Mus musculus: one gene and its partners. Each later gene encodes a partner of the first gene's protein in a complex. Links are inferred from orthologs where the notes say so. Each region holds a gene or a part of one and is shown in the gene's direction. Other genes may lie near its edges. The genes, in order: Ruvbl1, Epc1, Anp32e, Asdurf, Vps72, Meaf6 and Ing3.

Region 1 (4,206 bases):
CCACTGAGCAGGGTCTCTGCGCTTTGCTCATCTCGGATGGGATTCTGTAAATTGTTGCCCATGACCGTGTTTTCCAGAAGCATCTTTATGCTTGAGACTCAGCCTGGATGACTAAGTCGTGCTTGGCAGCCCTTAGTAACTGAGTGGGCTGTTGGTTTACATTTTAGCTTTATGAACTCATCTATAAGAAAGCTCGTTACCCCATCTGTGTAAGTTCTGTTCTTTTGGGGCTGGGGACTTCATTTCTCACATAGATTTCCAGTGAATTTCTTGTGTTTTTTTATCATGTTTAAATCAAAGACTGTGGAAATTTGACTATTTTTGGTTTTAGGCTACTTCAACATGGCAGATTTCAGATATTAAGATGTCCTCAGAATTCTGGCCTTCCCCACTACCCACAATAAACTTTAAGAAGAGTTGAAAGGGTATTCAGTAACAAAAATTTAAACATCATTTTTAAACTTTTTTTTTTTAAAGAAGATGGTAGCTATTCTAAGTACTGTGATTTGAATCCTGATAAAACTTGTCATGTTACAATTCTCTCTTATTATTCTTGTATAGCTTAATGGTAACCTTGAACTCCTGCTCCTCCTGAGGCGCGGTAGTAGCACAGGCTTGTTCTTCATGGCCGGTCTCGTGCTGTGCTGAGGATCAGGCCTAGAGTGCCATGCTTGTTAGGCAAGCACTCTGCTGAGCAGCCCAGTCCTAACATTTACCGTTTGACCCGTTTCCAACTGTAAAACTCATTGACATACGACACAACCATCAGTGCTATCTATAGTTCCAAGCTTTTTAAAGGATATATTCTTTTTTTTATATATATACCTTATGTGTATAAAGATACATGTGTGCATGTCTGTGCACCACATGCATGCATGAGCCTGTGGAGGCCAGAAGAAGGCATTAGACCCCCTGAAGTTGGAGTTATGGTCAGCTGTGAGCCACCACGTGGGTGCTAGGAAAACCAAATCACAGGGCCTCTTCAGGAGCAGTGACACAGAGCTTACACAGAGCCCTCGACACAGAGTTGTCCTCCAGCGCCTGTTTCCAGAACCTTTTCCTCACCTCAAAACCAAGACTGCTGTGGCCCCGATTAGCATCCAGTCCCATCCTCCCTGCTCAGGCTGCATCGCCTCTGACTACCTTCTGTGCACGGCCACTTTGTTTTCCTGGCATGCAGTCTGATACCCATTGGCCTCTGTGTCTGGTTGTTTACTACCGTGTTTCAAGTTTATCCTGCCATACAATTTACTTTCACTTAATTTTATAATAAATATACACTGATACTCACCTGTATGGAAAGAATTTAAAAATTGATTATTTATTTATTTATTTATTTATTTTTTGCTTGCTTGAATCTTTTTTCTTCTCCCTTTTTTGTCAGTGTGCACACGCTCACGCCCACGGCACTGCACACATGTGGGGGTCTCTGAATTGAACTCAGACTATTGGGCTTTAAGCACCTTTGCCTGCTGGACCATGTCGCCAGCCCTGAAACCAAATATTTTGATATTAACAACTAAATTGAAATGGCATGCCTCGCTCTCTGTTATTCTAATCAGTTGTGTTATTTCTTGCAGTTGTGATGGCTGTTAGGGAGACTGATGGCCGCCTGGGTCAGGATGGCTTGATGCAGAGCCCCACAGTTGCTCAGCGTCCCGTGCTGTGGCTGGGCTGGCTGTAGGGCACCAGCGTCTGCCCAGCATATGTCCCGTCAGGCGGCTGGCACAGGCTGGCAGGTTGGCAGGCTTCCTCTCCTGGCTGTTGACTAGGGCTTGGCTAAAGGTTGAAAAGAAAAACAAAGGATGTAATTGGACAATTCTCAGGAAGAAAAGCATGGATGTGAGGGGAAACATTTGTGCCTCATTAGTAAGCAAGGAAATGCAACTCAATCAAGGTGTTCCCTTTTCTTTTTCTAAATTATTAAAGCAGCAAATATTTAGGAATTAAAATGTTCGGTGCTGCCTGTGGTGCTGAGACCAGGCCCCTCACGTAGCTGTGCAGGTTGGCACAGTCATCCACGCAGTAGATCTCTGGGATGCTCAAGCCTGGTGATCATTTCAGAGGAGGCAATTCATGAATGTGTGCTGTCAAGTGGAAATTAGGTCTGGCTATTAAGACTAAAGCAACAGACAAAACAGAAAAATGTATACATTAGCGGTATAATTATAAAATACTCTTTGAAGGTTTAGCAAATAGATGGGTCTGTTTGATTTTGGATTTGGTTTCGGTGTGTTCCCTTCCCGAACTGGGATAATAAAGCTGTTGCCCAGGGCCACCTGGCTCTGATACTCAGGGATGCTAGCTACCTACTTGTACTGTGAGTGCCTCCACTCATGTGTCTGTTGTCCAAGATGTAAGCATTTTTTGGGTGATGGGAGTGATTTTGGCCCTTGCAGGGGCACTGAGGACATCACTTCTCCACACGGCATCCCGTTGGATCTGCTAGACAGGGTGATGATCATCAGGACCATGCTATACACGCCACAGGAGATGAAGCAGGTAAGCCCGGAATCTCATGCTCTCCCCCCCCTTTCTACCCGCTTCTGACCACTTGGCTAGCCTAGGCCTTGCTCTGCTCACTCTTCTGAGCAAATCCCAGTGTCCTTGAGGCTCTGACAGATGGGTTCTTCTGAGTGGACATTCTTAGATGGTTAGATTAGAGCCCATGGTCTTGCCCAGCTATTTCTGGTGAGCTTGAGGAAAGGGAGGAAAGAAAACATGGGCTTAGTGGTCACCAGATGCCCTCAGCCTGAAGAAAGGAGCAAGGAAGTATGATGTAGTTGCTTGGTATGGTAATGCACACCTGCAGTTCCAGCACTCAGGAGGCTGAGGCAGGAGGATCACAGGTTTTAGGCATAGTGAGATCCTGTCTCAAAAGGAAACAAACAAGCAAACACAAACATTCTGGGCCTGTACCTTGTTGCTAGACTGATTTTTTTCCAGCATGCACTAAGCCTCGGTTTTGGTCCCCAGTGCCACATAAACTCAACTTGGTGAAGCTTTCCTGTACTTGGCCAGCACTTGAGAAATTGAGGTGGAGGGTCCTCCTCAGCCACACAGTGAGGTGGAAGCTAGGCTAGACTTTTAACAGAACAAACAGGAACCCAGATAGATGAGCATACTAAGCGTAGCACACAGATGTCTCAGTGTTATATATAATGCCAGCGAGTGGCTAGGACAGTGGCTGGAGCATTGTGGTGGCTGTGGCTCTTCTCTGAAACTGTGTGCTCTCCTATGGCCCGTGCAGTGTGGCCTTGCCAGTATTTCTCATTAATAGCACTCAGGGATTCATGGTGACATACCAGCAAATCTCTCTTCTCCCAGACCAGCTGTTAAAGGTCATAGTGCCACTTGTGAACCTTATTTAGGAAGTCAGCTCCATGGCCTGTCTAACGTCTCCTCCATTCCTGTGACGGTCAGTACCTGAGGGAATCAACTTAAGTAAGGAGAGGGTTATTGTGGACATGGTTTCTTGGCTTTGGCTTGTCATCTAGCCCTGTCCTTTGAACTTTGAGCTCTATAGTGTATCACGAAGGAGACAGAACAGAGTAGGTAGCTTACTCTTGATGGGCTTGGGGTGAAGAAAGATAGGAAAGACTCGGGGGTCCCATTATCTCCTTAGAGGGACTCACTGGGCCAGCTTCCTCCCCCTGGGCCCCATGTCTTGAAATGGCCCATTGCCTACCAGGCCAGTGCTAGGTGGCCGCTGAGCAGGAGCAGGAGCAAAGCCACCGTGCAGATCAGGAAGTGCTTGCTGTTGAGCTCAAAGCTTTAGTCCTGCCAAGAAGTGACACCCACCGTTCTGTGGCTTCCCTTTGCTGGCCTAGTGGCTCAAGCAACTGGGCACCTGTGGGAGCTGATTTTGGTTGTCAACTTGACACACCTCAGGAAGAGAGAACTTCAGTTGGGGAATTGTCTCCCTCAGATTGGCCTGTGGCACGTTTTCTTGATTACAAATGATGTAGGCTGGCCCAGCCCATTGTGGGCAGTGCTATCCCTAGGTCACCCTGAACTGTTTAAGAAACGAGCTAGACGTCAGCCTGGGTGCCTCTTAGTGAGCAGCACCCCTCCATGTGTCTGCTGCAGTTCCTGCCTCCAGGTCCAGCTGAGTTCCTGCCCTGGCTTTCCTGCATGGTGGTCTGTGGCCTGTGAGATGTAATAAACCTGTCCTTCCCAAGTCACCTTGGTCATTGTTGCACCACA
Region 2 (4,206 bases), on another chromosome or scaffold:
ACGTGTGAAGGTTCTGGTAGCCTAACGGTCTTCTGGGTACATTGAAAGTGTGGTAGATGTGTTCCTATTGTCCAGTGCCACCAGGCAGACCCTGGACCCAGGACCCTGGAGGTTAGTAAAGATCCCTCCCAAGTTACAGGTGAAATTCAGAAAACTTGATGGGATGATGATATTCCAACTAGCGGAGCACTTCATAGCAAGTCAGGTGGGCATGTTTGAAATGGCAGGCTTGAGCCCCAGGAACGGTGGATAATAGATGCCCTGGTACCATAGGATGTAGCGTAACTCTATTGTTTTGGGTTTTGGTTTTGGTTTGTTTGTGTGTTTGGTTTTTTTTTTTTTTTTTTTTTGATTGATTGTTTGGGGTTTTGGGGGGAATTTTTTGGTTTTGGTTTGTTTAAGTAACTTCTACTCGGAATGGTTTCTTTAAGAAGCCTTTACTGTCAGGTGGTTGTGATACTATTTGCTTTCTTTTTTCTTCTCCCCTCCCCCCCTTTCTTTTTAACCTGGCAAAGGAAAAGAATAAAGAAACAGGTTTCCTTTTTAAAGTTGCACACACTTTGGGGGGTAATAAATGAACATTTTTTTTGTTTGTCTTTTTTAGAACTGAGCTCTCCATAGACACACATAGTAGCATAACACAGTGTCTGTCCTCAGGCTTCACTCTGTACAGTAATCAGCATAACTCCGTTCTTATTGACTGGATTTTGTCCAGGTGGGTTAACTGGGTGGGGCAAGTTCATTAACCTTAATCCTGGTACTTCTTTTCTTCCTGTTAAACTTGAAAGATAAGTTCTCCTGTCTAAGTATTAAACTATCAGATTTACTTTTTATGTAGAAGAAAGTTTTGCAATGATTGGAATAAGAAGCTATGTAGACTTTAGTGTTTGTACACAGCTGTTGGGAAGGCCCGGGCCTCGGTATGACGATCTGGACAAAATAGAAGCGGAATGCTGTTTACCAGGTTTCACCTCATACTCACTGCAAAGTGCATCTCCAAGAGTGTGGACTGGGAGCCCAAGAGCACTTTCTGCACTGTCCAGCACAGTGTCACAGCTGAAAAAAGTAGTGGCTTTTTCTTTAACTTGAAGCCACTTTGGTTAAATGTGGCAGAAGATGCTCGTTTGCCTCTGGGAGCCATCTCTGGCAGCATCATTTCTATCCAAATGCTTCCATTTTGCACAAAAACATCTTTTTCTTCTGCTGAATTTTTAATGTTGTAAGGCGTCTGGTGTCTGTGCATCTTGTGAACTGTCTCCTTATTTATGTTCAGCATTCACAGCCGAACAGTACCAGCAGCACCAGCAGCAGCTGGCACTCATGCAGCAGCAGCAGCTTGCGCAGACTCAGCAGCAGCAGCAAGCAAATAGTAGTTCCTCTGCCGCCGCGCAACAGGTGAGGGCCTTGTGTCTTAGGATTATCCTCGTTGTTTCCCACCAGAGTTCATCTCTAATTACCAAGTGTTGTCCTAGAACCTTGCATCTAACCAGCAGAAAAGTGGCTCTGGCCTGAATGTACAGGGTTTAGAAAGAACATTCCAGGTGAGTCTGGGAGCTGTTTGCTCTGCTGCCTGTTACACAGAGTAGCCTGAGACCATGGTTCTCTTAGTTGTAAAGTTGCTTCTTTCTGACTCGTGGTCTGTGTGTAACGTACTGTCCCCAACGTAAAGCCCCAGCAGCAGATGTTCCGGTTCCAGAACTAAGCCCAAACAACCTGTTCTGCTCTTGGAAAAGTATTTGCTGTATAGATAGAGTTGGGGCTTGAAAGGCTGAGAATTGAGTCTTCTAAGCATCTTAAAGGAAATTTCATTTTTGGAGATTAAAGAGGTCTTCTCATTTTTTAATTACGATGTCAGATCTTTTTTTAATTAAGAGATGGTTGTCTTACTATTGAAAGATGCCTTTGAGTGTACAGTGGGTGGATATTAGCACTGAGGGTGTTTACAGAGAGGAGCCATTTAGAGATTAAATGGAAGAAGTTTACATATTTGCCTTAATGGGTTCGTCCAGCACTGCACTACCTGAGAAATGTGTTTTAACCTTTCAAGTGGAACTTTTTGCTGTTGTTGCATTCTGTACTAATAGGCTTATTTTGGTAATTGCTTTGTATATATTTTGTATTCCCATAGGAAGATCAAAATGTATAAACCCTTAAGTTAGCTAACTTTTCAACCTTCAGACTTACGGCTATGAAAATAGAATAGATCTCATTGGTTTGCTGCTTTTAGATCTGTGAAGCTGACTGTGGTGACCTGTGTAGTGAGGCCGACTGACTGTGGTGGCCTGTGTTGCTCTGACTCATGCTGACCTTTGTGTTTTCCTATCAGGGTTTTGTTTCTAAGACGTTGGACTCTGCTAGTGCACAGTTTGCTGCTTCTGCTTTGATGACGTCGGAACAGCTGCTGGGGTTCAAGGTGAAGGATGATGTGGTGCTCGGGCTCGGGGTGAATGGCGTCCTTCCTGCCTCAGGTGAGGGGTGGCATCTGCGTGCATACGTATTTGTACACATCGTGACTCAGCCACAAAATGCACAGCGCTTACACGCTTTCTTTTTCTCCCTAGGAGTATACAAGGGCTTACACCTCAGTAGCACTACACCAACGGCACTTGTACATACGAGTCCTTCGACAGCAGGTTCAACTTTGTTACAGCCTTCAAATATTACACAGACTTCGGGTTCCCACAGCTCACTGAGTCACCAAGTAACTGCTGCCAGCTCTGCAACAACTCAGGTTCTGTTTGGGAACAACATCCGATTAACTGTCCCCTCATCTGTCCCCACTGTCAACTCTGTCACCCCAATAAACGCACGGCATATACCTAGGACTTTAAGTGCTGTTCCGCCATCTGCCTTAAAGCTGGCTGCTGCAGCAAATTGTCAAGTTTCCAAGGTCCCCTCCTCATCCTCTGTAGATTCAGTTCCAAGGTGAGTAGTTCTTCTAAGCTGAAATGTCTGAAATGTAAACACCTAACTCTGCCTCCTGAAGTGGCTATCCACCTAAATTTTCTCGTTTCCTTCTGTGTATTGAATGAATGAATACACACACACAAATCTTTGTTTATTCAAGAACTAAGCAAGTGGATGTTATAATTCAGTGTTAGTTGAATTCAGTCTTGAGACTAAGCCGGTCCACTCCCTGGGAAAGTCATGTTGCTTCTGTGACGTGGACCTCCTACTGCAGCAGTAACCTAGAAATCTCTAGAAATCTTCTCCAGCTTTGGGTGCGAGGAATTCTTTTTCGCATGTGTTGTTGTGCTGTTGATTTCATCTGTAGCCTACTGTGGGACTGAAATTGGTAAACCTTTCTTCCACAGTCTGCTAGCTACTCCCAGTAGTGGCAATGCTGGCAGACCTGGCCACATCTAATCATTGCTTTCTCTGCTCACTCACCTTATTGAAGTTCAGTAGTTTAGGGTTTTTGTCAAGGCGCCTTTTTAACTATAACTAACTATTACTTTAACTCTGTATTAACTAATTAAAGTCCTGCTGCTACATAGTACTAGGAGAAAAAGAAACAAAGACCTGCATTATTCAGATTAGCAAGAACTAAGCTTAAAACATAGACATACATATTAAAGCAGTGCAGGTAATAGACAGAAGCCTTTCTAGGCGGGTCTTAGAGCAACGTGTGCTGCTCAGTTCACTGTACAGACAATCACTGTTGTTTTAAAACAAAGAGAAACATTTTCACAGCAAGGTAACTGTGAGTGTAGATCAGAAATAGGCAAAGCAGAAATAAAGTTGGGAGAGCTAGTGTTTAGTGGTTAACAAGTAGCTGGGTTGGGGGAGGGGGGAGGGCCAGGCCTGTGCTAGACCAACATTTAAACTTTTCAGCAGAGAGTGTCAGGGAAGAACAGCTATGTTGTTGCTTATTGGTAGCCTTTACTTTGCACATCTACAGGTCCCTGTCTACATTTATCAGGTCAATACCAGGAACGTATTGTTGGTCTGTTCATGGCTGGTCAGGGGATTAGTTCCGCTTCCCCATCACCAATGATGACTTTAATTGCTGTAGAACTGGACAAATATGAGGACATTTACAGTAGATGGGACTTCTCATATCCCTGACTCTATTTAAAAGTAGGAAACAAAGCCAGTGGACTTTTCAAAGGATACCTCTAGAACCTAGTGTTCTGGCTACTAGTCCTGTGTCTGTGTCTCACTTAGTGACGTCCATTAGGACCTAGATTTAAAGTCCTGACATGT
Region 3 (4,658 bases), on another chromosome or scaffold:
TGCAACACATGGCAACTAAGAAGCAGAGAAAAAGGAATCTAAAAGAAATAATTACATAGTTTCTGTTGTTATTGTTATTTTGTGACAGAGGCTGGCCTTGGATTTACTTAGTAGATGACTGTGGATCTGCCCCTCTCTCCCTTCTGAGGGCTATGATTAAAGGAATGTTGGATCTTTCAGGAACATTAAACAGAAAAAAAAAGTTTTGGTTTTGTTTTTAATTTACTTATTTTGTTTTTGCATATCCGTGTGTTTTGCCTGCACGTACGCACACACAATGCATCTGTGCCTGTGGCCTGTGGAGTCCGGAGGATGCCTCTGAATTTCCTGGCATTGTAGTTATGGGTGATTATGAGCCACTATATGGGTGCTAGAAATCGAACCAGGGTGGAACCTCTGCTAGAGGTCATTGCCTCTCCATCCCCTCACACTTAAAAGAACATTTTAAGTAGATTCCTGTAGGAAAGGAGAGGCCTTGCTGGACAGTTTCTGATAATTGTGTTTCTTTAGGCCTGTGTTATTTTTCCTCTAAGGTGTCAATTTTGTTTGTTTGTTTTTCTGTCTTTTGGAAACAGTCTCTCCCCACCCCACCCCCCTTTCTGTGTAATCCTGGAACTCGCTCTGTAGACCAGGTTGGCCTCGAATTCAGAGATCTGCCTGACTCTGCCTTCCAGTGCTGGGATTAAAGGCGTGTGCCACCGCGGCTGGCTCTAATATTCCAACTTTTTAGCAGTGACAAATGACCTCAGTATCAACTCCTCCTGGACAGTTTTATTTAAAGGCTTCTGACTCAACGTGCTAAACTCAACTCTGCTTTCAGAGCCGTTCCCCCCTTTATGTTGGAAGTTAAAATACCTTCTTTATCACGCTCTGGTTCTACAAGCAGTTCGGGACGGGGAGGTGTCACCAACACGCTGTTCGCGCTCGCGCCCCTGCTTACACTTTAGCCGCAGAGCAGAAGGCTTGTGCTTTAAGACCACCGAAAGCTCTGGGTGCAGTGTGTTGCATGACCCACTTACAACTTGGGGATGCCAACGACGCCTTTTCCCTTCCTTTTAACCCTGAAGCCAGAAAAACCCCAAACAAACAAAAACAAACCCAACAGACACCCAAACCGTCCTACTACCAAGGGGAAAGCGCGCCAATCACACAAAGAAAAGGAGGGGGGCGACTGGGATTCAAAATCATTTCTCCGGGACGTACATCCTCCCGAACCTATCGGAATTAACTGCGCGCCTAGTCAGAGCCAATAGACACTGAGTTTCTGGTCCAGGTCCCCCCTAAAGACAAATGGACAACCCTCTAGCCCAATGGAGTCGTGTGACGCTAAGGACTCGACCAATCCCGTTGGGAGGTGGGTGGAGTGTAGGCTAGGGGGGGTTGGCGGTGCCGTGTCATGGAGGCTCAGTCTCGCAGCAGCCATTGAAGGGGAAGGAACTGCGGGCGCGCGCGTGTCTCTCTCCCTCACTCTCTCTGTGTGAAAGTGTGTGCGTGCCCGAGTGTGCGCGCGCGGGTGTGTGGACTCGGAGGTGGGGGCAGCCGAGTTAGTCCCAAGTCGTCGGACTCCATTTGCTATTCTTTTCTTTCTCTCCCACACCCGTGTGGTAGTGGGCGTTCGTCTTTGCGTCTCTTTTCATTCATCTCCAGACCTTTAGAGGTTTTTTTAGGGTTGGGGATAGTGGGGAGGGCAGGCGAGGGGAAAGGAGGAGGACATGGAGATGAAGAAGAAGATTAACATGGAGTTGAAGAACAGAGCCCCGGAGGAGGTGAGATGACTCAGCCCCCATAGTCCCCTCCCGCCCTGGATCGTGAGGGGTGGGCTTCGGGGGTCCGGGTGGGTGCGCAGGGCGGGCTGGGAAGCGCGCCCCCACTTGGGGTGGAGGCGGGGTGTTTATTTTAAGTTTTAAATCACCAGGCTCTTGTGCTTAAAATGGCGAAGGGCTTAAGTTTCTAGGGGCATTTTCGTGAGCGCGCGGGGGCTCAGCCCCATGGCGTCCTCGCAGACTGGTGGCCCGGCATCGCGGGCGCGGGCGGCGTGGGCGCGACCCCCGGGTCCTCGCCACCTGCGAAGTTGGTGTAACTTTCCCGCGGCGCCGCCACTCGGCCGGCCGCGGCCCCGGGTGTGGGACTCGCGCCGATCTGTGCCCCACGCTCCCTCCGACCGTGCCCGCTCGCGGGCAGCACGCGCCGCGGCCGGGGCCGCAGCGGAATCCCGGGACCCGACGGCGCGGGCCGCGATCCGCGTGGCGCGCGGACTTTTACGCAAGCTGGAGGCTTGTGCGAGCCTCGCTGCGCTCAGTGCGGTCGTAGGGAAGAGTCCCGAGTCTTGAAGGGGGCCCGGGAGGCGTCGCCCCGACTCCCCGCCGTCGGATTCCCTAGCGGTTTACGCCAGGTCCGCGGGTCTGGAGATTGGCCGCGGCGGGCGGGGACCAGGCTCGCTGATTCGCGGCCGCGGCGTGAAATCGAGGGACAAGGGGTCCGCGCCGCCGTGGTCCCTTGACGCCCGCTCAAAGGCGGGCATCTGCCGGGCCTCCACAGTTATCATGCAGAGCCAACGGTCCCTGAGCCCTGCTGATTTTCGTGGTTCCTTTGCGGGTTTTGGTGACTGGAGGCGAGAGAGAGGTGGTGGAAACATTGTTGCTGTGAGGGTTATCTCTGGGAGCAATGGAAGTTTTCTAGAGCTTCTTAGAAGATTCTAGAAAAACTCAAAAGTTGAAAGCTGTCAGCAGGACGTGGTGAGTGATATCTGTAATTCTGTATATCTGTAAATCTGTACTTCTCATATCAAGAAATTCCCAGCCCTTGGGAGGGAGGCCGAGGTAGGACGCTGGTTGCAAGTGGGACTCTGTCAAACAAGGCAAAGCAAATCAAAACAAGCAGTTTCTCAGAAGTCTTGTGGAGCAAAAATGGGTCGTCCCCTCCGCCCCATCCTTTCACCTTCAATTTGGAGGATTGCTTGACATGCCTTTTTGCAGTCTCTTTCCTTTGGTGTGGTGTGGTAACAGTTAAGTTTATATAGATAGTTTATAAGGCACTCCCATTTATTTACTTTCTCCTTGGGAAAATGTAAGCTGGGTTGTATTGTTCTAGAATCCAAATTAGCAAATAGGAGTAAAGTTGAAGAGCTGGGATTCTGACACTAGGTCTACAAAACTCTTGCTGAGCTCTAAGAAGTCTCTGGTTAAGACCAGAATCCAAAGGCTTAAGAATTGCTTGGCGTGGTAGGCATTTAATTCAAGGCAGAGGCAGGCAGATCTTTTTGAGTTTGAGGCCAGTTTTGAGTTTGACTACAGCTGTCTCAAAAACGAACAGCCAGACGGTGGTGGCGCATGCCTTTAATCCCAGCACTCGAGAGGCAGAGGCAGGTGGATTTCTGGGTTCAAGGCCAGCCTGGTCTACAGAGTGAGTTCCAGGACAGCCAGGGCTACACAGAGAAACCCTGTCTCGAAAAACCAAAAAAAAAAAAAAAAACAAAAAACAAAAAACAAAACAAAACAAAAACCAAATGAACAAGTCGGAGATAGTGTCCCACGAGCTGTTAATCCCAACAGCCAGGAGGCAGAGGCAGGCAGATGGATTTCTGTGATTCAGAGACCATGCTAGTCTACAGAGCAAGTTATAGGACAGACAGGGCTACACAAAGACCATGTCTTAAAACAAAACAAAACAAAACCAAAACCCAAACAGACTTATCAAAATGTCCCTACCTGACACTAATGGTGTGACGTAATGCAAGTCATTTTGCATACCTAGGCTTCCCTGAGGCTATAACAGGGATATCTTTGTACCATTTCTGCTCATTTAAATAATGCCAAAGTTACACTCAAGTAGGGAAGATGACAGTCCTTGTTGCCTTTAAATAGACATTTTTTTTGCTCTGGGAATAGAGAACCAGGGTTTGCTTTTGTGATTACATCTATTCAGGTGCATAGGGTAAGTTTTGTTACTATATCTCAGATCTGTGGCTCAGTGGTTATGAGCCACCACTCACAAGGTGGCTTACAAACTCCCAGGAGTCCAACTCCTTTTCTGGCCTCTGAAGGCACTGGGCACATATGAGGTTCATATGAGGAAAAATGGATACACATTAAAAAATAAATAAATAAATTTACTGCCCAGAGATATTAAGAAATCCCCTTCTGGGCCGGGCGTGGTGGTGCACGCCTTTAATCCCAGCACTTGGGAGACAGAGGCAGGCAAATTTCTGAGTTTGAGGCCAGCCTGGTCTACAGAGTGAGTTCCAGGACAGCCAGGGCTACACAGAGAAATCCTGTCTCAAAAAATCTAAAAAAAAAAAAAAAAAAAAGAAAAAAAGAAATCCCCTTCTGAGCCAGAGAGATGGCTCAGGGGTTACCAACACTGGCTGTCCTTCCAGGTCTTCCCAGAACCAGAACCCACATGGCAGCTCACTACTGTCTGTAACTCCAGTCCCAGTTATCCAACACCCATCTTCTGGCTTCCATGGGTACTGCATGCCTAGGGTGCACAGACACACATGCATTCAACCATATGCATTAAGAAAAGAAAAGACGTTCAGTCCCCCCTCCCTCCAAGCATGGGACAGACAGTCCATGTGGCCTCCAAGCTTGGGACAGTCCATGTGGCAGCTTGAGCAGCAGAAGGAGAAACAATGTTTTGAATATTGTTTTGTGTGATAT
Region 4 (4,874 bases), on another chromosome or scaffold:
CTGAGAAGAAGGTTTATTCTTTTGATTTAGGATTAAATGTTCTATTGATATCTGTTAAATCCATTTGGTCCATAACTTCTGTTTGTTTCACTGGGTCTCTGTTTAGTTTGTGTTTACCTGATCTGTCCATTGATGAGAGTGTGTGTTAAAGTCCCCCACAATTATTGTGTGAGGTGCAATGTGTGCTTTTAACTTAGTAAAGCTTCTTTTATGAACGCGGGTGCCCTTGCATTTGGAGCATAAATGTTCAGAATTAAGGGTTCTTCTTAGTAGATATTTCCTTTGATGAGTATGAAGTGTCCTTCCTTATCTTTTTTGATGACTTTTGGTTGAAAGTCAATTTTATCCTATATTAGAATGTCTACTCCAATTTGTTTCTTGGGACCATTTGATTGGAAAATTATTCTCAGCCCTTTATTCTGACATAGTGTTTGTCTTTGACACTGAGGTGTGTTTCCTATATGCAGCAAAATGTTGGGCCCAGTTTACATATCCAGTCTGTTAGTCTATGTCTTTTTATTGGGGGGATTGAGTCCATTGATGTTAAGAGAAATTAAGGAATAGTGATTGCTGCTTCCTATTATTTTTTATGTTATTTTTATGTTTGTGTGGTTATCTTCTTTTGGGTGTGTTGAAAGGAGATTACTTTCTTGCTTTTTCTAGGGTGCAGTTTCCCTCCTTGTGTGGGTGTTTTCCATCTATTATCCTTTATAGAGCTAGATTTGTGGAAAGACACTGTGTACATTTTGTTTTGCCATGGAATATCTTTGTTTCTCCATCTATGGTAATTGAGGGTGTTGCTGTAATAGTAGTCAGGGCTGCTATTTGTGGTCTCTTAGGGTCTGTATGACATCTGCCCAGGATCTTCCAGCTTTCATAGTCTCTGCTGAGAAGTCTGGTGTAATTCTGATAGGTATGACTTTGCATGTTACTTCACCCTTTTTCCTTACTGCTTTTAATATTCTTTTGTTTGTTTGTTTGTTTAGTGCATTTGGTATTTTGATTATTATGTGATGGGAGGAATTTCTTTTCTGGTCCAATTTATTTGGAGTTCTGTAGGCTTCTTGTATGTTCATGGGCATCAAATTCTTTAGGTTAGGAAAGTTTTCTTGTTTAATTTTGTTGAGGATATTTACTGACCATTTAAGTTGGGAATCTTCACTCTCTTCTATACCTGTTATCCTTAGATTTGGTCTTGTCATTGTGTCCTGGATTTCCTGGATATTTTGGGTTAGGAGCTTTTTGCAATTTGCATTTTCCTTGACTGTTGTTTCAATGTTTTCTATGGTATCCTCTGCACCTGAGATCTGCATCTGGTATGTCTTAAGACAGAGACAGTGAACTCATCATATACATAAAATAAGTAAATCTGAAGAAGAAGAGGAGGAGGGGAGGGGAGGAGGAGGAGGAGAAGGAGGAGGAGGAGGGGGAGGAGGGAAGGGACGAGAAGAAGAGGAAGAGAAGGAGGAGGAGGAAGAGGAAGGGGAGGGGAGAGGAGGGGGAAGGGGATGAGAAGAAAAAGAAGAAGAGGAAGAAGGAGGGGGAGGAGGAGGAAGGGGGAGGGGGAGGAGGAGAAGAAAACCAAATTTAAGAGTATTAAATTATAGTGATTTATTTTTACATAGGATCCACTAGGGGGCGATACAGACCATTCATAGATTCTGCAGCCAAGCCACACCTACATTTAGCAGAAAACCATTTTGCAGTGGAGCACAACTCTTAATTCGACTTTTCACAACCCACCCCGCGCGCGCTTGCCACTGCGCAGGCGTGAGTGTGCGCACTCCATTGGTCGGGGTGCCGGAAGGGGCGGATTCCTGAGTGGAACCCAGGCTTCCTGCCGGGGCTGCTGGCTGCCGTTCCTTCCTCAGTCGCGGTTCTTGGCGTGCGGCGCGGCTAGGCGATGCCCAGCAGTGGGGTGCACGCCGATGGCCGCGCCGCGCCGGGGCCCCCACACACATCGACTGCGCACGCCGAGTCCCTTAGCAGCAAGGTGCCGTGGGACGCCGGGGAAGGGTGGTGGGCGGCGGGCCCCGCTGTGCCCTGTAGCCTCCGCCGTGCATTCTCAGCACCAGCAGCTGATTCCCCTCCATCCTGCAGGTTTGCGACGATGGAGGCGTGTCCCCTGAAAAAAAGTGACACACAGATGTGTTGCTCAGTCACACACAGATCTGTTGCTCTGTGGCTGTGCTTCATCCAGTTAGCCACGCACCCGCCTGGGTGCCATCCATGACGTCCATCATAAAAGTTTAGAAGTCTGTACCTGTTCTTCCAGACTCAGGCAAAAGCTTCTTAGCCGATTTTCTCAGCTGCCTGTTACCTTAAAATATATTCTCAACTTTAAGTGATCCTAAAAACATCTGTTTGGTCATCTCTTTATTATTCAACAAGAGAAAGGAGCACCCTATCAAATTAATTTTTTTCTATACCTTTAGGATAGGATTTCATAAATAACTCAGGCCAGCCTCAGATATTATTGCTTAGGCATTACTTGAATAATTCTCTTGCCTAATAGCCAGGATTTCAGGGAGGCAACCCCATACCGGAACTAGTCCTAACTTCCAGTTACAGACGAAAATCTTTAAACGTGTAGAGTGGAAGGGTGTGGGTATAGTCTTTTCAGATATTAAACATTCCTAAATTCTGTATTTTTTCTGTCCTATATGATATCTTCAGTACATTGCCTAATTCCCGCTGTACCACAGTGTACTGTGGTGTCACCTAAAGTGACACCTGTCATTCCTGTAATGAGCATAAAAACACTGTACAAGCAGACTTGAATCTCAAGGAAAGCGTACTCAATATGGCTTTGTAGGTTATTAGTACAGCTCTCAGGACTTAATAGACTATTTGCCTAGCTTAACGATACCAGCAATATGCAGTCCTTAATACTTGAAATAGAATGATACAGTGGTGGAAAATCATGTTGGATCAGTGCAGGTAGGGCATTCAGTACCATAGTACCATTTCATTTGTTTTATCCGAATGTCTGGCTGTCATCTAGTGCATACATCATAAAACCATTGGTTGTTGGTAAAGAGGAGAACCCACATTCATTTTATTTCTCTCTTTTTGTCTACAGCAAGACCTTATAAAACTAAAAGATTGGGTTTTTGTTGTTTTCGGGAGAGGTTTTGTTTGTTTTTGGTTCTTTTGTTTGGTTGTTTTTTGTTTTTTTCAAGACAGGGTTTCTCTGTGTAGCTCTGGCTGTCACAGAACTCAGTCTGTAGACCAGGCTGGCCTCGAACTCAGAAATCTGCCTGCCTCTGCCTCTCAAGTGCTGAGATTAAAGGCGTGCGCCACCACTGCCTGGCTTAAAAGATTGGTATTAATTTGGGTAGGCAGTGGCTCACCCTGGTTAAAGATGTGAGCTGTGGTAACTGACCCCTGGCAAGCCTATGCTTCTCCTTCTCAAGCTGTCTTCTACTGATTCCAGACTGAGTGCTGTTGATTTGTTCAGTGTCCATTTAGACAGGCAGTCCATTATAGCCCCCAACCCCATCTTTAGTTTTAAAGCAGTGACTTAAAATGTTCTCGCTAAACATACTTTGAAATCTTCCACTTTAGATTTTTTTCTTTACTTTAATAGATTAAAGAACAGAAAATTATTGTGGATGAACTTTCTAATCTAAAGAAGAATCGGGTGAGTTGCTGTGGAAATCTGAATAGTATATTAAAATTATGATTTCGATTATTTATGCTAACATTACAAAATTCAAAGATCATAATTTAAAAGCTAACGTGGTATCCTAGTTTGTTTTTGCATGTTTTAAATTTGTTTTTCCTGTATATGTCAATAGATCTCAAAGATAAAAAAATATTTATTATATTTTAACAAAAAAGAATGAAGTTTTTCACAGAAAACTTTACTATTCTAAATACTTAACCCATTTAATGCCTTTTTTATGAATATGTTCAGAAATCAGCTGCGATTATGTAATGACTGACATTCTTGACATTTCTGATATTGTCATTTGGGATATATTAGATGCTAAGGCAAATTAATACAAATTTTTGGAGATCAAACTGTCAAAATGTGTAAATGCTGTTTGACACTTCTGAGTAACTGGTGTGTAAGCAGTTGTGAGGGTGCATGTGTGTTTACACGTAGAGGCGCTCATCAGCACCTGTAGTGACGATACAGTAAGTGTCTGAAGCTTGAGGCCAGCAAAGAACTATAGTGTTGTACCCATATGGTCAGAAAAGGTCTCCATGTATTATTCATTTATGAAGTAAATTATAAATCTGTGGCTATGATAGCTTTTGTTACTGAAAGTGTGTGGTATGATGATGCATGCTAAGTAAACAACCAGTTCTGGGTGGCGTAGTATTCAGTGGCTTTGTTTCTCTGTGGTAATTACTGTTCTGAATATTCCTGAAGTTCAAGAATAAATGATAACAGGATCCTGTTCAGCATCAGTGTGCATGTCATACCCTGATCTTGTCAATTTCGTTTGCAGAGAGTATACAAGCAGCAACAGAACAGCAACATATTCTTTCTTGAAGATCGAACAAAAATCTTTTCTGAAAGCAAAAGTGAGTGGTGGTCGTCTTGGTTTTTGTTTTCAGAGTTATATATGGAATGCTACAGAAAACCTTTTGTAAGCTTTTTGTGGGGATTCATAATGGTGCCTCAGTTAAGCCCTATCTGAATAAATGTGTGTGTTGATTTAGTACAGTGGTCTGTTTTCCAGTTAGACTTCCAAAGATATGTACAGTGGGTTGTTTATTGGTTTTTGGTTTTTGGGGGGGTTTTTTGGTTTTGGTTTTGGTTTTGGTTTTTTGGGGAGAGGGGGTGGCAGGGGGAGTCCTTTAAGACAGAGTTTCTCTGTGTAGCCTTGGCTGTCCTGAAACTTAGTGTATGGATCAGGTTG
Region 5 (3,216 bases), on another chromosome or scaffold:
TGGGAGGCAGAGTCAGGCAGATCTCTGAGTTCCGGGAGAGCCAAAGCCACACAGAGAAACCCTGTCTCAAAAAGCCAAAAAAGAAACAAAGAAACAAAATCACAGGACAGAGCCCAGAGAGCTGTGATAGCTCAGCAGGTAAAGCAGTTGGTGACAGCCTGAGTTTAATTCTTGGAATCCACACGATGGAAGCCGAGAACTGACCCTAGCACATTGTCATCTGACCTCTCCACACATGTGTTCATGTACATACACTCTTGAAAATACATATGTGTAATTTAAGTAGATGACAGGCCAGAGTGTGGGAAAGGAAAGCTGACCATTCTGTCGTTTCTCCCTTCGATCCTGCAGAGACCTATGAAAGGCTGGAGGCTGACAAAAAGAAGCAGGTTCACAAGAAGCGGAAGTGCCCTGGGCCAATAATCACCTACCACTCAGTGACGGTGCCGCTTGTTGGGGAGCCCGGCCCCAAGGAGGAAAATGTGGACGTGGAAGGGTGAGTGAACCCCGTGCCCCCGGCTTCTCTAGGAGTTTACTTTTCTCACTGCACACATTCAGACCTCAGCTCATTCCTTCCCTCTGCTGGCTGCCAGCACCAGGTAAGTAGTCTCTGAGCGGGGAGTGAGGATGATCAAAGAGAAGACAGCAGACACAGGACAAGAGAGGGGTCTGTCAGTGAGTACTGTAGTAGCCCAAGTGTAATGCGTGTAGCCTTCTGATACCGCAGTGTCTCAGGATATAAAACTAACAAGCTAGCAGAAACAATTGCTGCCATGTATATAGGGTATCTGATCTCATCCTGAGGCCTCCCTGTTCCTTCCTCCGAGGTTAACAGAATGTTTACCTCTTCCTCTCAAGCCTTACGTGTATCTCTTCCTAACGTTTTATGTCAGCAGGCCAGGAAATCTGGCAGCAGACCCTGACCTGCCTTGACTCTGCCTGGCGGGCAGACTTTTACTCTACTTGAGAAGCAGACAAATGGCTCTGACACTTCCTGTTGTTTTGTTTTGAGTTGGTCTTACTCTGTAGCTCTGGCTGGCCTGGAACTCCTTATATAGCCCAGGCTAGTATTCATGATCTACCCGCCTCTTTCTCCTTAGTATTGGGGTCACAAATGTGAAGCATCATGCCCAACTTTTTATTTTATTTTATTATTTGTTTGTTTGCTTATTTATTTATTTTATTTTAATGTATATCAGTGTTTTGCCTGCTTTGTCTGGCCTGGTACCCATTGAAGCCAGAAGAGGGTGACATATTCCGTGTAACTGAAGTTACAGACGGTTGTGAGCCACTGTTTGAGTGCTAGGCCTCAAACCTCTATCCTGGGAGAGTAGCCCAGCTCTTAACTGCTGAGCCATCTTTCCAGCCCCATGGCCTGGTAAATACTGAGGTCACAGCCAGCAAACCTAGCCTACCACCTTCCTTTGTCTGTCTCCGCAGCATTTTGTGACTTTTCTCTTGCCCTCAGCCTTGATCCTGCTCCTACAGCCTCTGCACTGGCTCCACATGCTGGGACCGGGACTGGAGCTGCCGCTGCCACCCCTCCTGCTCACTGCTCTCGCACCTTCATCACGTTCAGTGATGATGCAACGTTTGAAGAGTGGTTCCCCCAGGGGCGACCCCCGAAGGTCCCGGTGCGGGAGGTCTGCCCAGTGACCCACCGTCCAGCTTTGTACCGGGACCCTGTTACAGACATACCCTATGCCACTGCTAGAGCCTTCAAGATCATCCGTGAGGCGTACAAGAAGTACATCACTGCCCACGGACTTCCACCCACCGCCTCGGCGCTGGGCCCCGGGCCCCCACCCCCCGAGCCACTACCTGGCTCTGGGCCTCGAGCCTTGCGTCAGAAGATTGTCATCAAATAGAGACACCTGACCCCTAGACAGTCCCTCTCCTGACCTGGCTCTCCACTCCGCCCTCCCTTCTGCCAACCTTCGCCCTTGTTTCCCTCAGTTCCTCCCTAGTTCATTTCATTTACTTGTGCTCTTCATTTTTTTAATCTAATAAAATGGTAAAATCCTTTTTGTCTGATGTGTAAGGTTGGGGCAGAGGCAGGGGGATTTCTGAGTTCGAGGCCAACCTGGTCTACAGAGTGAGTTCCAGGACAGCCAGGGCTAAACAGACAAATCCTGTCTTGGAAAAAAAAAAAAACAAATAAATAAATAAATAAACCACAAGTTCTTGCTAATTTATCCAGACTAATTTCAGACTCCTGGGCTCAAGCAAGCCTCCCATGTCAACCTTCCAAGCGCTGGGCCTAGAGGGGTAAATCACTGTTCCTGCTCTGTCCTTTTAAGTAGCATGTATTTACTAAGTAGTGGGTGTCATAAAGATGCCTGCACTCATGTCTATCATTTTTATTACACTTACCTGGGTTATCCATATTTAACTCTCTTAGTCTGTCTTAGTCAGGGTTCCTATTCCTGCACAAACATCATGACCAATAAGCAAGTTGAGGAGGAAAAGGTTTATTCAGCTTATACTTTCCACATTGCTGTTAATCACCAAAGGAAGTCAAGCAGGTCAGGGAGCAGGAGCTGATGCAGAGGCCATGGAGGGATGTTACTGGCTTGCTCAGTTTGCTCTCTTACAGAACCCAAGACTACCAGCCCAGAGATGGTCCCACCCACAAGGGGCCTTTCCCCCTTGTTCACTAATTGAGAAAATGCCTTACAGCTGGATCTCATGGAGGCATTTCTTCAACTGAAGCTCCTTTCTCCATGATAACTCCAGCCTGTGTCAAATTGACACATAAAACCAGCCAGTACATAGTCTCTTAAATACCAGAACAAAATCCTTACACTGAGTGTGTGTGTCTCTGTATGTGTCTATGTATACAACCACGTGTCGGGTGGTGCACCTATGCAGAGGCCAGGCAGGGTCATCTGTAATTCCACCTATCCTTTGAGACAGGCTCTCTTTCTGAACCTGGGCTCCTGTTCTCTAGGCTATCAGGAGCCAGCAAGCCCCCAATGTTCCTGTGTCTGCCACCCTGTTATGCTGTTATGTAGGTGCGGGGACCTCACAATTGTGCAGCAGTCTTAACCACCTGAGACCTCTCTCTCTCTCGTTTTTTCAGGACATGGTTTCTCTAGCCCTGGCTGTCCTGGAACTTGTTCTGTAGACCAGGTTGGACCTTGAACTCAGAAATCTGCCTGTCTCTGCCTCCCAAGTGCTACGATTAAAGGCATGTGCCCCCTCTCCCTTTTAAAA
Region 6 (4,856 bases), on another chromosome or scaffold:
AAGGCTTAGGGGCCATTTCAGACGGCCAGAGCCAGAGGTCGGGGAGGAATGAGGTGAGCAGTGCCTTCTCCACATGGACAGGTCAGGGCTGCTGTATTCAGGAGCCCAGCAGCTGTAGCTGCTTACAAAAGACTGGCCTAAGATCAAGCCAGTCATCTTGGCAGCATGTAGGAGAGAGAGGTGCCCAAGCCTCCATCCCTAGCTAAGAAGCTATCAACAGTGGGTGACTCCTGTGGGGGAAGAGTCAGCTTTAAGGTGTGGGCCCTGGTAGGTTGATCACTTTCCATTGGATGATCTCACACCTATAAATATATGGGCATCTCAAATTGGGACTCAGTCATTAAAACGGGGCAGGGGGAAAAGCTGGAGAGAGGATGGATCAGAGCTCTCCCCCAGGACCCTGGTTCAATCTCCAGCACCCACATGGCAGCTTACAACTATTCCTCCAGTCCCAGGAGGATCTGATGTCTTCTGGTCTTCTTGGGAATTGCATGCATATGGTACAGAGACATACATGCAGGCAAAACACTCATAGACATAAAAAGAAAATTTCCAAGGTCTGATTGTTATTTTTTTGAGCCTAGGCTAGCCTCAAATTCTCTGTGTAGTTGAGGCTCATCTTGATTTTTTCCCCCTCAAAACAGCTGTCCTGTCTGTCTTCGAGTCCCCTGAGTGCTGGGAATAAAGACATGTGCCACCATGCCTGGCCCTGGGAGGTTCTTCTGTGGGCCAGGCTGGCAGGAAAGGAAGAGATGCTAGACTCAAATTCAGGGATTTGTGCAAGCTTGGGCTTAGGCAGATATTTTACCAACTGAGTTTCATCTACAGCCTTGACTTTCTTTTTTGGGGGGTGGTGGTGAAACTGTCTTATATAGTCTTACTGGCCCAAATACTATGTAGTACCTTGACCTTCCTGCTTCTTTTACCGCGGCCTCTTGGGTGCTAGAATTATAGGCATGTACTACTGGAGAGGAACAAGAGATTAGTGAAGAGGTTTGTGAGAGAGAAAATTAGGCAAGAGGAGTTTTAGAAAATTGAGAATTTCTCATACCTGTTGAACAATATACATCTAGGGCATAGAAACCCAAGGACATCCACCCATGGGGGCAAAGAACGCCACCTAAACTACGAGTGACGTTGCTGAGCACTGAGAATGCAGAGGTGGGCTCAGGGTGTACCTGTAGAGTGCTTGCTTCGTCTGTCCTGAGATCCATCCCCAGCACCTATTAACAGCGGGCATGCTCAACACATGGAATCCCAGCAGTGGGAAGGCAGAGGCAGGACGATAAACTCACGGTCTGTTTCTGTTCAATACCAGCCTGGATACAGTTCTGGATCTGAAGATAGAAGCTAATTCTTTCATAATCCTTCCCCTCCGGCAAACCACGTACAACAGGAGATCTGCTTGCCTGTGCTAAACCCAGCAAGATGTTGGTTTGGGGATCTTCTCTGCAACCCGGTTGGTGGGCGGAACCTTGCTCAGGTTTTCCACCTGCAGTTGGGTGGTGTTGCAAGGACCTCGTCTGCCGGGAGACATATGGAATACTCAACAGGCCTATGCTGCAGCTGGGTTCTCGATGTAGTGAATGTCTGTGGGTGTCTGTTAAGCTCAGAGGCCCACAGTGGAGCAGCAAGGAAGGTCCCACACGTACAAGCGCCTCTCCGCGCCGGCTTTCGCGCGCTGAGCCGGCCAGCTTCCCCGGAAGCCGCGCGCGCAGGCGCGGTGTGGGGGGTCGCGCCCCCTGGCGGCCAGCGGCGACAGTGCGCAGGGTCCGCCTACTGGTCGCGCGCCGCCGCCTCCGCCGCCGCTTGAGCCCAACATGGCGATGCACAACAAGACGGCGCCGCCGCAGATCCCAGACACCCGGCGGGAGCTGGCCGAGCTGGTTAAGCGGAAGCAGGAGCTGGCGGTGAGTGGCCGAGGCCTGGACGCCGTCCCCACTTGGCCTCGCAGGCAGCTCCGGAGGCGAGGACGGCGGGCAGCCAGGGTCTGGGCGCTCTGGGCGGCCGGGCGCGGCGCGGTTCCCTGCGGCGGCGCGGTTCCCGGCCTGCGCTCAGTGGGGCGGGGCGGGGCGGTGAGGGCGCGGGAAGGGCGAGAGGCAGGAGGCGGGGACGACGCTCAGGTCGGGTTAGCGGTTGGAAAGGAGGCGGCTAGACCCCGGCCTGGAGAAGATGCACGATGGATTCCATGGGCGGCGCGTTTCAATGGCCGGGGAATGTGGTGTATTTGAGGATGCCAAGGAACGGGGCTGGCGGGAGACCCAAGACGCAGCCTAGGGAATTTGGATTGGTGACGCGCACCAGGAGCCGCCGGCACCCTGCTGACTGCCCTGTAGGCTCCCGCCTTTTACGGCGAGCATCCGGGAGGCAAAGCTCACCTGAAGCTGCCCTTCCAGGTTTCCATAGCAACCGGCATCCACTGCGGGCGGCCCTTCCAGAGCTAGCAGGGAGGAAGCAGTTGATGTAGAAGAGATGCTTTTGAAAAGCTGTTCACCCTTCTCGCTGCTGGTAGCAACACATTTAGTGAGTGAGAATGGAGACAGCTCACGGTCTGTCTCATCCCTGCTCGTGACAGCTAGGTTTTGCCTCTGAAGTAGATGCAAAATCTTGCATGTGTGTGCATTTTCTGAGGATAGACTATACATTTCATTCTATTTATAAAGGGGTCCATCACCCCTACACTTCCACAGAAATGGTTCATTGTGGGTAAGCTTGACTTTACAAGTCTGTGACGGAATTTCAGTTTGCTTAATGCTTGTTTTTCCCTGTCCCTGTTTTCATCACCTAGGAAACACTTGCAAACTTGGAGAGACAGATATATGCTTTTGAAGGAAGCTACCTGGAAGACACTCAGATGTATGGCAATATTATCCGTGGCTGGGATCGGTATTTGACCAATCAAAAGTGAGTGTCAAAATCTAGTAGTATTAGCTGAGCACTGGTGGTGCACGCCTTTAATCCCAGCACTTGGGAAGCAGAGGCAGGTAGATTTCTGAGTTCGAGGCCAGCCTGGTCAACAGAGTAAGTTCCAGGACAGCCAGGGCTATACAGAGAAACCCTGTCTGGAAGAAAAAAAAATCTAATAGTATCTCTCCATTTTATCCTCTACTAATATTTGGCTGCAGGATTTTTGTTTTGATTTAAAACATGGTCTTACTATGTAGCCCTGGTTAGCCTGGAACTCACTAAGTAAAGCAGGCTGGCCTCGGATTCACAGATCACATAGCTCTTTCTCCCTCTGACTTCTGACTGATAGATTTAAAGGTATGGACTGTCATGTCCAGCTTGGGACATTTGCTTTTGGCATTTACTCTGCAAGGAGATGGTAGAGCCGTAGTGTGGAATGGGGTCTAAGCTTGAACTTGTACTCTGACGGCTCACGGAGAAACCTTGGGGAAGCCAGTATTTGTGATGAAAGAAAATAGGGCCCATGGTGCAGGGATGTGTGGGTGTAAGTGAAGTACAGCCTGTGACCGAACTGTCTTCCACATTTTCATCAGCCACGCTGTGCCATTACGATCTTTGTTCTACCTCCAAGTTCATTGTTACCACTGTCAGCTCAGTCATGCGATTGTATAAAAATGCCTACGCTTGTGAGGAATTTTTCAAATCTGTAGGAAAACTGAGATGAGAATGTGCATGACCAGTTAGTGTTTTTCCCATGTATTCATGAGTTGCTAACTCACTGTGGGTGCATGCTCTCTCTGAAGTACGAAAACTTCTCTGTGTGCTTAAGAACCTTTTGTTTGGAAATAATTTACAGATGGCGATAGAAAGCTGTACAAACAATAGACATGGCTTGTGTGTGCTTACGTAGTTTTCTCTGATGGTTACGTTTTACGTAACTATAGAGTATCATCAAAATCAGGAAATCAAGATTGGCTGTGTGGGGGTGGGGGTGGGGGTGGGTATGGCATTTTAACGTATGTGTATAACTACAGGATGTGAAACCAGGCCCAGGAGATATTGCTCGGTGAGTAAAGGCGCTTGGTGTACAAGCCTGATGACCGGAGCTCAGTTCCCAGAACCTGTGTTAAAAGGCACAACTGGCAACAGGAGAGATGGCTCAGCAGTTAAGAGCACACACTGCTCTGGCAGAGGACAGGAGTTCGACTCCCAGCATCACTGTTAGGTGCCTTACAGCTACCTGTAACGGAGCCCCAGGGGATTAGACTCTGTCTACTGAACTTTTGGACCATCCCCCACCCCCACCCCCACCCCTGCCATTTAACACACATGTGTAAATGCACGTCTGGAATTTTAGCATATGTGGTGGGATTTGGGGACAGGAGAATCGCTCACTTGGGAAGTTTGCAGGACAGCCTGAACTATGTAGTGCTGTCCAAATAACCAGATTGCCTCTGTCTCAACAAGGTAGAAAGCAAGGGCCACTGGTGGAAAGCTGCCCTCTGATTAGTGTGTGTATAAAGATGCAGACCCATTCCGCCGTCACAGGGTCTCCTCCCTGCTCCTCCTCTGTGGTTACATTGCTGTTTGCCCGTGCTTTCTCTCCCTGCTAACCATTGAAGAGTTAGGCGCTTACACCACGAATCTCTGCCTCTAAATATATTATCAGTTACTTCCTGAGAAGAGCAAGGCATCTCTGCATATAACTCGGATGCTTATAGCTTAAACATTAACACGGATTCCTTCAGATTCCCTTGGTTGGCCCCACAATGCTTTGCTACTCTTTTTTTGATCCTGGATCCAGTGGCTTTCGGCAGTTATGTCTCATTAATATTTTGTTGTTGTTTGTTTGTTTGTTTGGAGACAGGGTTTCTCTGTGTAGACCAGGCTGGCTTCTGACTCACAGAGATCCACATGGCTCTGCCTCCCGAGTGCTGGGACTGTAGGTG
Region 7 (4,206 bases), about 67 Mb from region 1:
TGGCTGCAGTTAGCTCATTTCTGTGGTTTGCACATAGTGTGAGTTAAGACATTCTATTTCCCATGTTTATTCTCAGCTTAGCATGAAAAAGACTCTGAATTTTTCCATGACTTAAATAACCATAACGTGTAACACTTAAAGAGAAAATACATATTTACATATATTGATGTTGTCAATACATGTCTACTTAAGATGAAAGAAGGGCGAAGAACATCGAGTTTAAAAGCCAGTTACGAAGCATTTAAGAACAATGACTTCCAGCTGGGAAAAGAATTTTCCATACCCAGAGAAACAGCTGGCTACTCCTCCTCATCGGCACTCATGACAACCTTAACCCAGAATGCCAGTTCCTCCGCCACGGACTCGCGGAGTGGCAGGAAGAGCAAGTAAGTTTCCCATGGCAGTGTGTGTCTTTGTTCAGGGTTGTTGTGTGGAGCTGTATCCATACATCTCCAGGGATTAACCACAGCAGGGTACAGTGATCCAGGCTAAACACTGGATAGGCAGTTGGCTCTCTGCACTGCCTCACCTTGAAGGCAGGAAGGAAGTCTTTCAACTGTTAGAGTCATTTGTAATTGTTCTCAGTTAGTATGTAAGTGACTTCTTTTTACTTTCTTTTGTTCTTTCAGATAAATCATTTTGTGTCACTATTCCTATTTGTAGTTTAGGTGTTTAGAAACCCTGTTGTCTGAGCTGAAGGAGGAAAAAAAGGTGCAAATGAGAGACCAAAAGAGTTAGTTATATAATAATGCATTTTATCTTTATTTTAAATGTATTACTTCTCTACAAAAATCTCCTGAAAGAATGATCAATGTAAAGTCTCCACAGAACTATTATACATCTTAAAATTGATATGAATTGCCCACATTTAGTTGAACTCCTTATAATAAATTTCTGCATGTTCTCTGGAATAGAGTTGGTGGTAAACAGTTGTTGAATTCTGATACTCTCAGATCCAGCTATACTTGATAGGCATAGGACACATGCCAACTGATGTTAGGACTTTGCCAAATACTTTTCTATATTTGTACTTAGGTTTTGATAAGAACTCTTTAATTTACTGTAAAAACATTAACAGTGTGAGATGGTGTAACTATTATTCTTGAACACTACCAAAAATTTTAAGTCAATGGTAGATAGTAACCTTAATTTAGAAATTATCTTTAAAAGTTGAAACATTTTAAGAGAATTTTCTTCTATTTATTTTAAATAGAAGATTTTAAGAATATTTCCTTCTTAAAGGAACTTATTCTCCAGAAAACAAAAATTGTAAACCTAGGGTCAGACCTCAGCGTGTCCTTTCCTTCTGTGTCGGTGACGAGGAGTCACTCTCGGGGAACCGCCCCAGTGAACAAATGCAGCTAATCTGCCTGTAATTTTTTCAGAAACAACACCAAGTCTTCAAGCCAGCAGTCGTCGTCCTCCTCCTCCTCGTCGTCCTCTTCCTCCTTATCTCTGTGTTCATCGTCTTCAACTGTAGTACAAGAAGTTTCCCAGCAAGCAACTGTAGTGCCCGAATCTGACTCCAACAGTCAAGTCGATTGGACTTACGACCCAAATGAACCTCGGTATTGCATCTGTAATCAGGTAAAAACATCTACTGCGTGTCTATAAAAGTGTAGTCTGAAGAAACAAGAAAGAAAACTGTTTTAAAATCAGCACATTTTTATGCTAACTAAAATCAAGAATGGTTTACTTATAATTTTTGTCTTATAAAAGTAGTATACTTGCTATAAATACCAAGAATCATGAATTACGTGTAATGCCAACTTTCCCATACAACCTATGGTGAGACATTTGATGTCACAACACATGTACCCTGCATGCATGATGTAATACACCACTGGCCCTGTGGCCTACACAGCAGAAACTCCTCCCTGTGATGGTGCTAGAGACTGGGAGACCCGTGACGAAGGCGCTGGTTGACTAGCTACCTGTAAGGCCAGTCTGTGAGTTTAAAGGCAGTGCTTTTCTACTGAGTATTTATGAATCAGAGAGAAGAAGATCATATTGTGCGGTTATGCAATGTGCCAACTTCTTAAATGCTTGTAACATACTTGTAATGTTTATCTAATTTTCTTTGAACCAGGTATCCTATGGAGAGATGGTGGGATGTGATAACCAAGATGTGAGTATTGCATTTTCCTATATTGGGATGTAAAAAGGTGTAGATGACTGAGTATTTGTCTTATTAATTCTATTTCCCAGTTTGGCAATCAGGTTTTCATTTGGGATAACTACATTATCCTGATGAAAGCATCTACATGGCTTTAATGATTTTCCTGCTTCAGTGTTTCAAGGTGGCACTACTCGTGTTAGGTTCAGATTAAATTCACAAGGATTACTGTTGGCAGTTCGAAGTGCTTTCTTTTCTTTCCGCCTAAGATACTGTATTTACCAGAGTCCTGGTTGTTTATCACATTGAAGAAGTGAAACTAAAAGGATGCTCAGGGATAATTAAGACCTAATGTGTGGTTATTTCCCTCGTTATTATAGCATTCGGCATTCTCTCCACAAGGGGCTTGGACTGTACAAGCCATCTCTGATGGGAAACTGAGAGGAGATTTGAGAAAGGACTCCTGCTTCCTGTGCTAGGAAGGGTATTAGTTACTTGATAAGAACACCGTGACAGAAAGCAACTTAAGGCAGGGAAGGGTGTCTCTTGACTTACAGTTCCAAAGGGAACACAGTCCATCTTGGCAGGGCACGCATGGCAGCAGGAGTGTAAGGTTGGCCTGGTAGTCAGGAAGCCACCTGATTCTGTTTCACCCACCCAGGGCAGGCAGAAGGGAGGCAGCAAGTACAAGTGGAGGCAGGGTTTGAAACCTCCAGTCCACCCCAGTGAAGCACTTCTAGCAAGGCACCCTGTCCTAAAGGTTCTAGAAACTTCCTAAACAGTGCTACTAGCTGGGGACCAACTGAGCTTATCAGGGGAATTTCATATTCAAACCACAAAAGGGATTTAATTTTGGATAAAGATGCATGTTTGATTAAATACTGTTTGATTGTCTAGGGATTTTGGCTCATTCCTTAACTGCCCTACAGCAGTTTTGTACCTGCTACTCCCTTTTGTACCTGTTGTACTTCAAAGGAGTAGCATGAAACTTGTGACCTTGGTGACACCAGTGGTGTCAGAATTCTGATATTAACAAGAGTCACAAGGACAGTTGTGTGTGTTCCTTCCCTGACAGGGTGGGTGCACTGTGCTCTTGAGAAGGGCACAGTCCCTCCCCAGCTGTCCCGTGCAGTCACTTGTGTGTGTATGTGGGGAGGTGTTTTAAAGCAGTGTCCTCTGGGGTCCCTGTAGTTCCTCCAGTGCTGTTGTGGGTATCAAGCCTTCCTGTGGAGTGAAGAATTTTTTAATATTTCAGAGAGGAGGGTTTCCTCCATATCTCTGGATAGAGCACCAGAAAGGAAACACAGCCAGTTGATGGCTTTAGTTACAGCTAGCTCATTCCACTTCCAGAGAACAATTATGGCTGGATATTTTTAAGTCTTTTACATGTTTTCCTTCTTCATGTAAGATTCATATTCTTTATTCTTTGGAAGATGGCACCGCCTGGCGGCTGTCCAAGTTGATGGCAGCAAATAAATGTCCATTCTTTAGTGCTCAGGTACTAGAGTCCATGACGTCTCTCTTATCAAAGAAGCATCCTTTTCCTGGGTGTCCATGTTTTCATCCATGAGGCACATCTGTCAGACTCAGTAACGTTTAGTCACTGCCAGGGTCCAAGAAATCTGATCGCACAGACCTAAGTTTGGTTAAATGAAATACTGTGTGTCCTAAGCATTTTTTTTATTATTATTATCTGTTCTTTAGAAATACCAACTCCCCTTTTTTTTTTAAATTTTCTCTTCCAGTGTCCAATAGAGTGGTTCCACTATGGGTGTGTTGGCTTGACCGAAGCGCCGAAGGGGAAGTGGTTCTGTCCGCAGTGCACCGCTGCCATGAAGAGAAGAGGCAGTCGGCACAAATAGAGAGGGACTCTATTGTCACTGCAGGAAGGAGGAACTCCAGCTCGCCATTTTATACAGGACGCTAGGAGGAAAGACACGAGGACGAAGAAGCAGCTCATCTCCAGGCCACCACTTAGAGGATTACAGAGACAATCCTATAAGATCTTGAACTTGAATTTTATGAGTTGTATTTTAATAATGTAAGTAAATTATTTATGCACTCCTGGTGTGCTATGAATATTATTCCAG

What was found.
Region 2: Ruvbl1 (region 1) and Epc1 share a complex: the UniProt entries of both Homo sapiens proteins name them as parts of the nuA4-related complex. The link is inferred for Mus musculus from reciprocal best matches to the Homo sapiens genes RUVBL1 and EPC1.
Region 3: Ruvbl1 (region 1) and Anp32e share a complex: the UniProt entries of both Homo sapiens proteins name them as parts of the SWR1-like complex. The link is inferred for Mus musculus from reciprocal best matches to the Homo sapiens genes RUVBL1 and ANP32E.
Region 4: Ruvbl1 (region 1) and Asdurf share a complex: the UniProt entries of both Homo sapiens proteins name them as parts of the PAQosome complex. The link is inferred for Mus musculus from reciprocal best matches to the Homo sapiens genes RUVBL1 and ASDURF.
Region 5: the proteins of Ruvbl1 (region 1) and Vps72 are in contact, whole or in part, in a cryo-EM structure (PDB 9CA9), measured with the Homo sapiens proteins. The link is inferred for Mus musculus from reciprocal best matches to the Homo sapiens genes RUVBL1 and VPS72. Residues at the interface, in NP_003698.1 of Homo sapiens: Thr136, Leu138, Pro140, Glu142, Met147, Tyr150, Gly151, Lys152, Thr153, Ile154, Ser155, His156, Val157, Asp173, Pro174, Phe177, Glu178, Gln181, Ala187, Gly188, Arg205, Thr208, Tyr209, Ala210, Thr211, Glu212, Phe213; in NP_005988.1 of Homo sapiens: Ile212, His215, Arg263, Thr264, Phe265, Ile266, Thr267, Phe268, Ser269, Asp271, Phe274, Trp277, Phe278, Gln280, Gly281, Arg282, Pro283, Pro284, Lys285, Val286, Pro287, Arg289, Glu290, Ala299, Leu300, Tyr301, Arg302, Pro309.
Region 6: Ruvbl1 (region 1) and Meaf6 share a complex: the UniProt entries of both Homo sapiens proteins name them as parts of the nuA4 histone acetyltransferase complex. The link is inferred for Mus musculus from reciprocal best matches to the Homo sapiens genes RUVBL1 and MEAF6.
Region 7: Ruvbl1 (region 1) and Ing3 share a complex: the UniProt entries of both Homo sapiens proteins name them as parts of the SWR1-like complex. The link is inferred for Mus musculus from reciprocal best matches to the Homo sapiens genes RUVBL1 and ING3.

What each region holds. Positions count from the first base shown.
Region 1 is NC_000072.6:88,489,117-88,493,322, forward strand, and holds part of Ruvbl1 (ruvB-like 1), read left to right. Parts: intron 1-2,399; coding exon 2,400-2,502; intron 2,503-2,508; exon of another isoform or gene 2,509-4,206. UniProt on the Homo sapiens protein: Possesses single-stranded DNA-stimulated ATPase and ATP-dependent DNA helicase (3' to 5') activity; hexamerization is thought to be critical for ATP hydrolysis and adjacent subunits in the ring-like structure contribute to the ATPase activity.
Region 2 is NC_000084.6:6,438,311-6,442,516, reverse strand, and holds part of Epc1 (enhancer of polycomb homolog 1), read left to right. Parts: intron 1-1,273; coding exon 1,274-1,395; intron 1,396-2,326; coding exon 2,327-2,468; intron 2,469-2,561; coding exon 2,562-2,925; intron 2,926-4,206. UniProt on the Homo sapiens protein: Component of the NuA4 histone acetyltransferase (HAT) complex, a multiprotein complex involved in transcriptional activation of select genes principally by acetylation of nucleosomal histones H4 and H2A.
Region 3 is NC_000069.6:95,927,885-95,932,542, forward strand, and holds the start of Anp32e (acidic leucine-rich nuclear phosphoprotein 32 family member E), read left to right. Parts: upstream 1-1,372; 5' UTR 1,373-1,712; coding exon 1,713-1,766; intron 1,767-4,658. UniProt on the Homo sapiens protein: Histone chaperone that specifically mediates the genome-wide removal of histone H2A.Z/H2AZ1 from the nucleosome: removes H2A.Z/H2AZ1 from its normal sites of deposition, especially from enhancer and insulator regions.
Region 4 is NC_000067.6:53,349,649-53,354,522, reverse strand, and holds the start of Asdurf (ASNSD1 upstream open reading frame protein), read left to right. Parts: upstream 1-1,770; 5' UTR 1,771-1,903; coding exon 1,904-1,993; intron 1,994-3,589; coding exon 3,590-3,643; intron 3,644-4,460; coding exon 4,461-4,536; intron 4,537-4,874.
Region 5 is NC_000069.6:95,120,911-95,124,126, forward strand, and holds the end of Vps72 (vacuolar protein sorting-associated protein 72 homolog), read left to right. Parts: intron 1-351; coding exon 352-496; intron 497-1,468; coding exon 1,469-1,868; 3' UTR 1,869-2,141; downstream 2,142-3,216. UniProt on the Homo sapiens protein: Deposition-and-exchange histone chaperone specific for H2AZ1, specifically chaperones H2AZ1 and deposits it into nucleosomes.
Region 6 is NC_000070.6:125,083,357-125,088,212, forward strand, and holds the start of Meaf6 (chromatin modification-related protein MEAF6), read left to right. Parts: upstream 1-1,804; 5' UTR 1,805-1,820; coding exon 1,821-1,910; intron 1,911-2,788; coding exon 2,789-2,904; intron 2,905-4,856.
Region 7 is NC_000072.6:21,969,722-21,973,927, forward strand, and holds part of Ing3 (inhibitor of growth protein 3), read left to right. Parts: intron 1-192; coding exon 193-386; intron 387-1,385; coding exon 1,386-1,587; intron 1,588-2,089; coding exon 2,090-2,128; intron 2,129-3,861; coding exon 3,862-3,978; 3' UTR 3,979-4,206. UniProt on the Homo sapiens protein: Component of the NuA4 histone acetyltransferase (HAT) complex which is involved in transcriptional activation of select genes principally by acetylation of nucleosomal histones H4 and H2A.